Linked DNA regions of Mus musculus. The protein of the gene in region 1 interacts with the protein of each later gene in a biochemical or structural test. Links are inferred from orthologs where the notes say so. Each region holds a gene or a part of one and is shown in the gene's direction. Other genes may lie near its edges.

Evidence for each region. The genes of interacting proteins can lie anywhere in the genome.
Region 2: the proteins of Magi2 (region 1) and Adrb1 interact in a test that uses a peptide from one of them, tested with the Homo sapiens proteins (4 studies listed by IntAct, with this or other methods). The link is inferred for Mus musculus from reciprocal best matches to the Homo sapiens genes MAGI2 and ADRB1.

What each region holds. Positions count from the first base shown.
Region 1 is NC_000071.6:19,224,910-19,230,578, forward strand, and holds the start of Magi2 (membrane-associated guanylate kinase, WW and PDZ domain-containing protein 2), read left to right. Parts: upstream 1-2,136; 5' UTR 2,137-2,379; coding exon 2,380-2,680; intron 2,681-5,669. UniProt on the Homo sapiens protein: Seems to act as a scaffold molecule at synaptic junctions by assembling neurotransmitter receptors and cell adhesion proteins. Plays a role in nerve growth factor (NGF)-induced recruitment of RAPGEF2 to late endosomes and neurite outgrowth.
Region 2 is NC_000085.6:56,720,188-56,725,560, forward strand, and holds Adrb1 (beta-1 adrenergic receptor), read left to right. Parts: upstream 1-1,929; 5' UTR 1,930-2,184; coding exon 2,185-3,585; 3' UTR 3,586-4,963; downstream 4,964-5,373. UniProt on the Homo sapiens protein: Beta-adrenergic receptors mediate the catecholamine-induced activation of adenylate cyclase through the action of G proteins. This receptor binds epinephrine and norepinephrine with approximately equal affinity.

The sequences.
Region 1 (5,669 bases):
TTAGGTGCATAACTTTGTAAGACATAAAACAAATAAATCTCTGTCCAATCTATCTCTGTGCCTTCCTTTCCTCACCTGTAAAGTATATAAACTATATAATATAACCATAATACGTGATAAACAATTAGAATAACAGCGGACACATTGGAGGTAATTTGTAACTGCTGTTAAACAAATGCAAATTCTGTTCTTCACTGCCTCTATCACTTTCCACTTAGAATGGTGCTTTATAATCCTCAGCCTAACTTTTCATGAGACTGGCCTTTCAATGGAAATCTTGCTGGCTCAGGAGCATTCCTTAAGGCCAAGGACTGGGTAGTCCTCACCAGTCATAGCCAACTTTTCTCAAATGGAAAAAGGCACAAAGTCAAGCAAATTCATCCTTTGTAAAGATCTTCAGCTCTGACCTAATTTGCTGTCCTCTCCACGATGTGGGGGTGGGGCTGAAGAGGAAGAACCTACTGTTCAAAGCCAACAAACCTGTATGGGGCAGTCCCTTCCCTGCCTTGCCTGTCTGTCTTCTCAGTGCACCAGGCCCCACTAGTACTGTTACCCCTATTTAAAAGGAAACAACCAGAGAAAGGTGGAACAGCCTGCTAAACGTGGCACTCCTGAAAAGCCCCAGAGCCAGGATACACACCCCCTCTTTTCTGTCTGGGTCAGCTAAGCCTTTTGAACCGCCTTGCTTTCCTCCCACACTACATCCCAGACATCAAAGCTCTTAACTGCTGATAATTCCTTCCCATACTCTGATTTACAAAGATGAGTGGGTGAGTGGTTCCTTTTTTTTTTTTTCTTTTTGCCTGAAACATATTATTTCAAAGTTAAGCAAATGGAATGTAAGCTACGGAAACTCAAAAAGCACCACTCAGGGTTTGACTGGAGAAGTCAGCAGCCCTCAGCCCCCTGTGTCCTGCTTAGCTTTCCACCTGGCTCTAAATTTGGAGAAGGGGAAGGAGCTAGATGGGGGTACAGCGCTCCACCAAGAGCCTTCTTTTCTTTCCTGTAGCAGACTTGTTTGTCTGATTAACCTAAAACTTGACTCCTGTCCAGGTTACACTCACCATTTATATGTCTAGGCTCTTACTCCATTTATCTCCCTAACACCTACCCCACCGCCCCTCTCCACTCTTCAACTAGGGCAGGTGCCCTCCTCTATCCTGTCTCCACTCAATCCTCTTCAGTTTCTTCCAAGAGGACACATGGCCCTGCTCTGCAGATGTTATTTCACCTTATTCTTGCATCCAGGACGACCAGACTCCTTCCTCTAACTTTCCTCTATCGGAGGGGCACTTCTGAGAACTTTGCGAGGAATGAAAGACTGTAAAAAGTGGAGCGAGCCAATAGTGAAGTCTCTCCACGGGCTCCGCCTGCCAGGCCCTCTGCAGTTCCATGCTGGGACCCCGAACTCCAGCTTCCTTGTGGCAGGATGGAGCCCCAGAAGACTGTGCTGTAGATGGGCCACCAGGCTCGGCATCGGGTTCCCCGGATTTCTGCTTTGTCCAGTGTTGGGGTGTGGGCAAGTCGGGGCGTCCTGCAGGCTAGCAGCCCGGCTCACAGGGAAGCTGAAGACAGGTCCACCCAGGGATCCCGGCTCTCTTCACCGGCCTGCCCATGTCGGGCCTCCGCTCCCCTCCTTCCCGGCTCCCGCCTCCTCCCGCAGGCTGCAGGGCGGCCCGGGGCCTGCCTCTCCCAGCGCCTTCACTACCGGGTCAAGCCGCGGAGGGAGGGAGACGGCGGCGAAGCCCTCCCTGGCGCTCCACTCGGTGCGCGCGCCTCCTCCCTCGGCTCGCATCCCCCAACGCTCCCCCCTCCCCGCCGCCCGCTTGCATCCTGCCAGTACAGTACAACTAGTACACAGGCACACACGCGCACACGCGCACACACACGCGCTCCCTACCGCTGCCACTGCAGCTGCCATGGATATCGGCTAACAACACAGAGGCCGGCGAGCGCGCGCGCGCTCCCCACTCGCAGCACGCAGGAGTGGCCCCCGGCATCCCTACCCTCCTCCCCACCCCCACGCCACCCGCTCACCAGCTCGGCCACTGCTCGCGCTGGCTCGGCCGCCGCCACCGCCGCTAACGCCGCCAACGCCACCACAGCTTCCTCCGCTGCGGGGCCAAAGCCTTGAGTGTCATTCAAGGGACAGCACAACCTCACCCAAGCTCTCCTACCTCTGCCCAGCCGTCCCTCTCATCCTCCCCCTTCCTCCGCCACACTCCATCCAAAGAAGAGGGAAAGCGCGGAGCAGAGGGAGAGAAAGGCAAAGTCTGCCACCCTCTTCCCTTGGCCCCCTTGCTCCTCCATCCCGATTTTGACTCCCAGACCCTCCTTCCCAAAGGACCCTCTGGAACTGAGGCGACTCACCCTACTGCCATGTCCAAAAGCTTGAAAAAGAAAAGCCACTGGACTAGCAAAGTCCACGAGAGTGTCATTGGCAGGAACCCGGAGGGCCAGCTGGGCTTTGAACTGAAGGGGGGCGCGGAAAACGGACAGTTCCCCTACCTGGGGGAGGTGAAGCCGGGCAAGGTGGCCTATGAAAGCGGCAGCAAGTTGGTGTCCGAGGAGCTGCTGCTGGAGGTGAACGAGACCCCCGTGGCGGGGCTCACCATCAGGGACGTTCTGGCCGTGATCAAACACTGCAAGGACCCCCTCCGGCTCAAGTGTGTCAAGCAAGGTGAGCGCAGCTTGTTCGGTGCTCTGCCTGGCGGTGGGACCCCGGCGTGGGGATGGCATTAACAGGGTGGGCGCGGGTGTTGGATGGGTGTATGCTGCGCCACCGCGGGGTGGGGTCCAGAGAGCACGGTAACTGTGTTCGGAGCATTAGGGGGACCGGGACTGGGGGGCTGGCTGGCCGGCTAAGCCAGGTGGTACTGTAGCAGGCAACTTAGTTTGCCCAGTTGGACCCTCCCCTTTGGAAGATGCTTGGCCTTGTCTGACCTCCTCTGAGCTTTAGGCCAAATAGAATGTGCGCCAATGGCATGTCCACAGTGGACACAGAGCTTTCGGGGAAGGAGGAAAGCAAGGGAGGAGGAAGAAAGGAAGATGGAGCAACTTGAGGTGCAGAGCTGTCGCTAGAGAGAATGGGAGAAGCTCTGAATATTGGGGCAAGTGGAGACCCCTTGCAGGATATCCAAAACTAGTCTGGAGACACCTTGGTCCGTAGCGGTTCCCTAGGGATCACTGACGGGAGAGGAAGGAAAGGGACAAATTGGTTTGGACGCTTTGACCGGTAGTGTTCAGTAACTTTTTCCCTGCTTCACTCCTCGGTCTTTCTCCCCCGCCCATGGTCATGTCATGTGGGCACCGTGAGTCACGTGCAGACTGACTAACCCTAGAGATCGCCCCTGGCCAGCAGGCAGGAGGAGGGGCAGAGATTAAGAAGCGGGGAGCTGGGAGAGCTTTCTAATGTGGAAGGGGAGGCAGACTGCGGCATTACAAGGGTTCCCCTAAGTATTCTTCATTGACTGGAATTTTCTTATTGACTAGGATTTCTCTGTGGTTGGACTCTCCTCTAGCTCCAGACATGGGGGCGTGTTTGTGGCATAGAGGTGGATGGAGATGCAAGCTGGTCAACAGCCCAGGCTCCCTGTGTTCTAACTTGGCTTCTGTCAAGTCTCTTCTAGGCTGTGAAGTTAATTTAGAGAGATTGGAATCTTGCTGAAAAAATGTCTTTGCTTGAAATAAAATTGTGGTCCTGAGAGAAAACTTTCATTAGAAAAGACTTTATTGTACAAATGTAGCGTGCCTTTGTTTTCCTCTGGTGGTAATGCAGTTTCTTGGGTGGCACAGGTGGACAGGACAGATCTGTCTCAAACATACCAGCATGGTATGACAGTTTGTTATCTATTGTTATTTGTCTTGCGCCAGTGTTGAAATTCTGAGTATTACTGTATCAGAATTGCTCTTCATGCTGTGATCCATTATGAAGAAATACTATATAGAGCAGTTGTTTTTTTCAGAATAAAATTAACATGTAAAAAGAAAAGTTCCGAAGTAAACAAGAGAGAATAAAGGTTCATAAACTTCTCTAAAGCTAAGCTGTCAAGGAAGAAAACATCTTCAGTGGGATTTATTGAGTATCCATCGTATGTCATTTTAGATGATCTAATATAGACATGCAGTATTATATGACCCTGAAGAAGAGGGTTTACTATCCTAGCATTTTCCAAAGTGACATACTTTGAACTCAAATTCAGAAAATTGTGTTGCTACATTTTAGGTTACGATACTACATAATAGCAATAGATAACAAATGTGAAGTTCAAGGCTAGGGTTCAGTTTACTACAATTGACCAATACCGTTATTTGGTGGTAAAAAATATTGGTGTTTGCAAAGGAAAACAACTGCAAAAGTTAATGCTTTTAAAATATCTGTTTGTTTAGGGGTTGATGGTTTATGGATGGGTGAATGGATATGCCCACTGTGTGATATGGAAATCAGAAAACAGCCCTTGAAAATCATTTCTCCCCTACTGCTCTGTGGGTGAGAGAGGGAAATTAGGCTTGCTGAGACACTTTTCCTGAGATCAGCCTCACAAGCCCACGTTAATACATTTCCACAGTGATTATATTCTACTGTGGTTCCCGCTGATCATTTTATTCTGATGCCTACATGTTGAGGTAGATGTTGGCAAACTTTAATACTCGTAAACAATAAGTGTTTATGAGTATTAATAAAATAAATAATTAAAAGAAAATATTATCTAGTATTAGCAATTTACTAAAAGAAATCCAGAGAGACATTGGAAAACTGAAGGCATAAAAGTTGTGCAAATTGAGAATCTGAGATAAGAAATGGGATTTTCTGGCCTATTCTGTGATAATGCTCATAATAAAGCTAGGGCAAATTTGGGAAGTCTTTCCCTTGGGGAAGCATAATTTCTAGCAGAACAGAGCTGGGAGTGATGTTGTAAGATGAGGTTTCCCTACTGGACCTTGACAAAGAAGCAGAAAGATCTACAGAGGGTGATCCCTGCCCAGCCTTGATTTTAGCTAAAATTCATCCTGATCAATCAGCTTCTTGCTTGTATTTTGTTTGGAAGAATAAAGCTGTTCAGATTCAGGACACTTATTATTATGGACTGAAATATTTAGGTGAAAATCTTTTCACAGTATATGTTAACCCTTAGTCTGTCAGTCTCCAGGTATCCAAATATAGACATTCATCTACAGAATTAAAATAGATATAAATAGATTAATTAATTAATCTATTTTAGCTTTTTAAAATCTATAATCGTATATGTTTATTTAAATGTAGTGATTCCTATATATTCTCTTATAAAATTGATCTTTTATCAGTGGTGATTAGATTTATTTATTTATTTATAATTATGAGTAAGTGAAAATTGGCAGACATTAAATATAGAGCTTGTGATTGTTGGGTTTCAGTAGGGTTTGTACTTGTTTGAAAATTGGGTTGAGCTTTAGGCTTAGTAGTTCTATTTCTGGGGGGAATCAAGAAAAAAAAAATAGAAAAACATAGCATAGCCAGAGAACTCATACATGGCTTGCTAGTGAGGTGGATTTTTAAAAATATTAATGAGATTGATTTTAAAGGTTTAGTTAAATATTGGACATTATGCAGAAACTACATGTATAGTTATAGCAAAAAAAAAAAAAAGAACTTGGGGAGATTTGTTAGAAATGGGAGATATGTATAATAG
Region 2 (5,373 bases), on another chromosome or scaffold:
TCGATACACTGCACCCCAATAGCACCACTTAGCAGAAAGCCTCTTTCCACATTTCCCCACACCCCAGCACTCAGAGGCCCTTTCTTGGTCAGCTCACTTCAAAACATGGGCGTTTTTCAGATTGTCCCTTGAGTCCTTTCAGCCATCCCCTAAAAGCCACAGGAAGGAGAGACCCTGGCTTGAAGAGGCTGGGGTGACTATGGGTGCCAACTCCTTCTGCCCTCGGTGTAGTTCCTGTTCCCTGATTCTCAAAACTCCCCAACTTGGCAGAACTTGGTAAGTCCAGGGCAGGGGTGAATAAACAGATCACTCCCCCGTGGTAACACTCTCAGTGGTCAAGCCTGATCCTAGGGCACATCCACGGGTTTGACTTTATGAAGAGTACGGCTGTGGATGGACAGCTGTGAGCCTGTGTCTTTTGGCAAGGTGAGAGTACCAGCTTGGCCACATGTTGATGTTCCTCCCAGATGCTAATCTTTTTATTCCAATGCAAGAAGGACTCGGGAGCATTACATAACATTATATAACACTACCGTGCACCCTTCCCTTCTGAGACAATTGGGAACTGTTCGCTTCTCAAGAACTTAATTACAGATTTCCTTTTTACGGCCTGAGGTAGAGGCATTCCCAGGGGTAGATCAGAGGACCTCAGCCCGAGGTCCCATCCTCTGTTCGCATCAGGAATGAAGCCAAAGACTCTAGTTTCGGATTCTCTCGACAATGTGAAGCGAGGAAATGTGGTATGACTTTAAATGCTTTCAGATTTAATCGCCTTGAGTATGTATATATTTTCTTCCCTCATCTTCCCAAAGCTAATCCCACAGTTTTGAGAATCTAGCCACCCTCCCAAGAAATCTGAAATCCCAGTTCATGACGTCAACCCAAAAGGGATAGCACCTTGTGTTGGCTCAGCTCAGATTGCAAAATCCCATGGGTAACGGAGCACAGATGCGGATGTTAAGGTGTTGGTACTGGAGTCAAAAAGTCTGAAGCGTCATTCTCCGTGTTCTTTCCACGAGGGGCGTGGGGGTGGGGCGACGTCATTTACCCTGGACTGAATGTTGCCCTAAACTTCTCCTTTATATTCAGAACTCTTTCATCCTTTTCTTTAGCTGGGACTGGGGCCTGTGTGTGTATCCGACTGGTCCTCGGTGTTGGCAGTTACATCCACAAACCTTCCCTTCCTTTCCCCATCTACTGCACTTGAAGGAGAGAGCACAGCTCCGCGCGAGAACAGCGCCCAGAGAGCCTTTCTGACAGATGCGTACCCTGCTCCAGCAACCCGCCTGGCTGCAAAGTTTCCTCTAATCACTAACACCCACTTCCTATTCCCCCAAGCTGTCATGCTGGCCAGGTCCCCTCGCGATCAGGGAAGAGCCAGGCTGCCTGATGGCAGAACCCCAGTCTCACAGCTAAATTCCTCCAATCCCAGCAGATAGGCTGTCCAAGGCACTCCTGCGTCTCCGAGACGCCTGTAAGGTTCTCTTATAGCTACCAGGAACCGGGCACTAGAGGCGAGGGAACTACGGGGTGCCGAAGGGAAATAAGGGCGCTCTTGCGGGAGCGGCAAAAGGAGAGCTGGGTGCTAAGGTTAACGGAGACTACTGGTTGGCGGGGGGCACAGGAGGCGGCGGGGCGCCGCAGGGGGCGCCGCAGACTAGACTCTGGAAGAAGCCTGAGCAGGAAAGGGCGCGCTCGCTGCAGCCCGTGGGTGCTGGCTGCGTAGTCCGCCCGCAATCTTTGGAGCCTTTCAATCGCGGGTAGGAGGGGGTGCTGGGTGTTGGGGGTGGGGGCACCATTGTCGGGGGCGTGCCTTGGCGGCGATTGGCTGCGGGAGCCTGACGCGCGGCCCCGGGGGCTGGCTGGGGGGGTGGCAGCGAAGGGGGGGGGGGAGGTGCTGGGTGTTGGAGCCGCCGGCCCCGCGCGCTCAGAAACATGCTGAGGTCCCGGCGGCTCTTCCAGCAGCGACAGCGGCTCCAGCAGCAGCGGCGGCGGCGGCGGCGGAGACAGCGCTCGGCTACGGAGGAGAAGGCGCCCGGCGTCCATGCCTCCGGCCCCGAGCCGCGGCTGCCCTGACCTGGCCGCGACCTCCCCGCGCGGGCCCCGCAGCCCCGGCTCCTGGGGTGCTCCCCAGGCGCGGCCCAGCCCCGCCACACCCCCCGCCCCCGGCCTCCGCAGCTCGGCATGGGCGCGGGGGCGCTCGCCCTGGGCGCCTCCGAACCCTGCAACCTGTCGTCCGCCGCGCCGCTGCCCGACGGTGCGGCCACCGCGGCGCGGCTGCTGGTGCTCGCGTCGCCTCCCGCCTCGCTGCTGCCTCCAGCCAGCGAGGGCTCAGCGCCGCTGTCGCAGCAGTGGACCGCGGGTATGGGCCTACTGCTGGCGCTCATCGTTCTGCTCATCGTGGTGGGTAACGTGCTGGTGATCGTGGCCATCGCCAAGACCCCGCGGCTGCAGACGCTCACCAACCTCTTCATCATGTCCCTGGCCAGCGCTGATCTGGTCATGGGATTGCTGGTGGTGCCTTTCGGGGCCACCATCGTGGTGTGGGGCCGCTGGGAGTACGGCTCCTTCTTCTGCGAGCTCTGGACTTCGGTAGATGTGCTGTGTGTGACGGCCAGCATTGAGACCCTGTGTGTCATCGCCCTGGACCGCTACCTCGCCATCACGTCGCCCTTTCGCTACCAGAGTTTGCTGACGCGCGCGCGAGCGCGGGCCCTCGTGTGCACAGTGTGGGCCATCTCGGCGTTGGTGTCCTTCCTGCCCATCCTCATGCACTGGTGGCGGGCCGAGAGCGACGAAGCGCGCCGCTGCTACAACGACCCCAAGTGCTGCGATTTCGTCACCAACAGGGCCTACGCCATCGCCTCGTCCGTCGTCTCCTTCTACGTGCCCCTGTGCATCATGGCCTTCGTGTACCTGCGGGTGTTCCGCGAGGCCCAAAAACAGGTAAAGAAGATCGACAGCTGCGAGCGCCGCTTCCTCGGCGGCCCAGCCCGGCCGCCCTCGCCTGAGCCCTCGCCGTCACCTGGGCCACCGCGCCCCGCAGACTCGCTGGCCAACGGGCGCTCCAGCAAGCGGCGGCCGTCGCGCCTCGTGGCTCTGCGCGAGCAGAAGGCGCTCAAGACACTGGGCATCATCATGGGTGTGTTCACGCTCTGCTGGCTGCCCTTCTTCCTGGCCAACGTGGTGAAGGCTTTCCACCGCGACCTGGTGCCGGATCGCCTCTTCGTCTTCTTCAACTGGCTGGGCTACGCCAACTCGGCCTTCAACCCCATCATCTACTGCCGCAGCCCCGACTTCCGCAAGGCTTTCCAGCGCCTGCTCTGCTGCGCGCGCCGGGCCGCCTGCAGACGCCGCGCAGCCCACGGGGACCGGCCGCGCGCCTCCGGCTGCCTGGCGAGAGCTGGGCCGCCGCCGTCCCCCGGAGCTCCCTCGGACGACGACGACGACGACGCCGGGACCACCCCACCGGCGCGCCTGCTGGAGCCCTGGACCGGCTGCAACGGCGGGACAACCACTGTGGACAGCGATTCGAGCCTGGACGAGCCGGGGCGCCAGGGCTTCTCCTCGGAGTCCAAGGTGTAGAGAGCCAGGCTCTCTGGGCGCACGGACGCCGCTCCCCATAGTCCCGGGCTGGACACGGGCTCTGCATCCCTAGAGGAAGAGAGCCCGCCTGGGCGCCCCTGAGCCGCTCCCCAGGGGAGAGAGGAGATCTCTGTTTACTCAAGACCGAAAGCAGGTGAATGCAAAGCCCACAGATCTATCGAATCATCCGAGACGTACAGAAAAGCCCCGGACCGAGCGTTTGCGCAAAAAGGAAAGTTTAGGAGGAGTTGGGAGAGTGTGGCTTAGTATGGCTTACTGGCTTGTCTTGAGTTCCTTTCTCTCTGAGGTTCGGCCTTTCGTGTGTTTAATGCACCTTCAGGCATTCCCCCCCCCCCCCGCCCCTAGGTGGGTTTTGACACTTTCTGCAAGGACCCGAGTGGAAACTAGGCGGGGAGGGGAGGGGGCAGGATGGAGTCTATCACCTGGCTTTCCGGTTCCACACCTAGGAACCTAAGTATTCAGCTCAGGTTTGGTGTGGGGGCGGGGCCGGTGATAATTAGCCAGGAAGTGTTTCCCTTTGCTTTCTAAAGAAATTGCATACTAATTCCGGAGTACTGGTGTCTCCTGTTCTTAAAGCAAAGGGAAAAGAAGGATGCGAAACAGACAAATCTGGTTTCGAGAAACTATGTGTGGAGCACGGTTCACCTTGCTTTCTCCTAGAGGGCAAACCTTGTGCCCTGCGCGCCTCGGTGGTCCTGCTGTGGGTCCTCTACCTCACTCTGTGCATATTGCACAGCAAGATAGAAAGACTTGTTTATATTAAACAGCTTATTTATGTATCAATACTAGTTGGAAGGACCAGGCGCTGAGTCTCTCTCTGTGACATGTGACTCTGTCAACTAAAGATAGGACAGAACAAAAAGGAAACAGTTGAGATTATTGCACATGTGGCTAAAAACAAAGACGGCAAAAAAAAAAAAAAAAGGCAGTGGTTGGAAGGCCATTTTGCACAGTGTTAGGCATTGTAAAATTCATAGAAGTTGTTAACTTGCACAAAAAAAATTAAATATTTTTACTGGGATGGGGAGGTGGGCAGATCTTTAAAAAGCTAAAATAAAATTCAAACTCAGTTTCTCTTGTCTATTATGTTATTGAGTTGATGGTTTATTGGGAAGTTACTTTTTATACTCTTATCATGGTACTGTAACTGTATCCATATTATAAATATTATTCTCTTACGTATTTTTATTATTATTTTTTAATGTCCAAGTGCCCCCGTGAATCTGCTGGTAAAATTTAGCACTCGTGTGTATATTCTATCTCTTCTTGTGTGTGTGACCAAGTATTTATACTCTGGTGCAACTAACTACCGTGTGGGAATTGGTCCATGTGCAATAAAGACAGCAGTGCAGCTCAATCGAGGTTCCGTGCCGTGTGTCTGTAAGGGGGTCCGCGATGACAAGAGAGACTTGAGTGTTTGCTTCAAAATACAGACTGGCTGCCTTTTTAATATCTCTTCATGACTCAATCACAGAGCAAAGTGCCTCTAGACCAAATAAGGTGTTCACCAACCGAGAGCCACAGATTTGCCCTAAATTTTCACAGCCGGATTCAAGGTATTCCAGACAACTCAGGCACCCTCAAGAGCCCATCTGCTACACTTGATGGAAGAAGGGACCGTGTATCTTCTGCAAAGGAGAGCCAGAGAGAGTGCTGCTGGAGACGGGTAACTCAGCAGCAACATCTCACAGAAACACAAGCAGGAAGGAATGATCCACTGGATGATGTCGCCCACTTGAAATAACGGTGAGTGGCTTCCATGGCTTA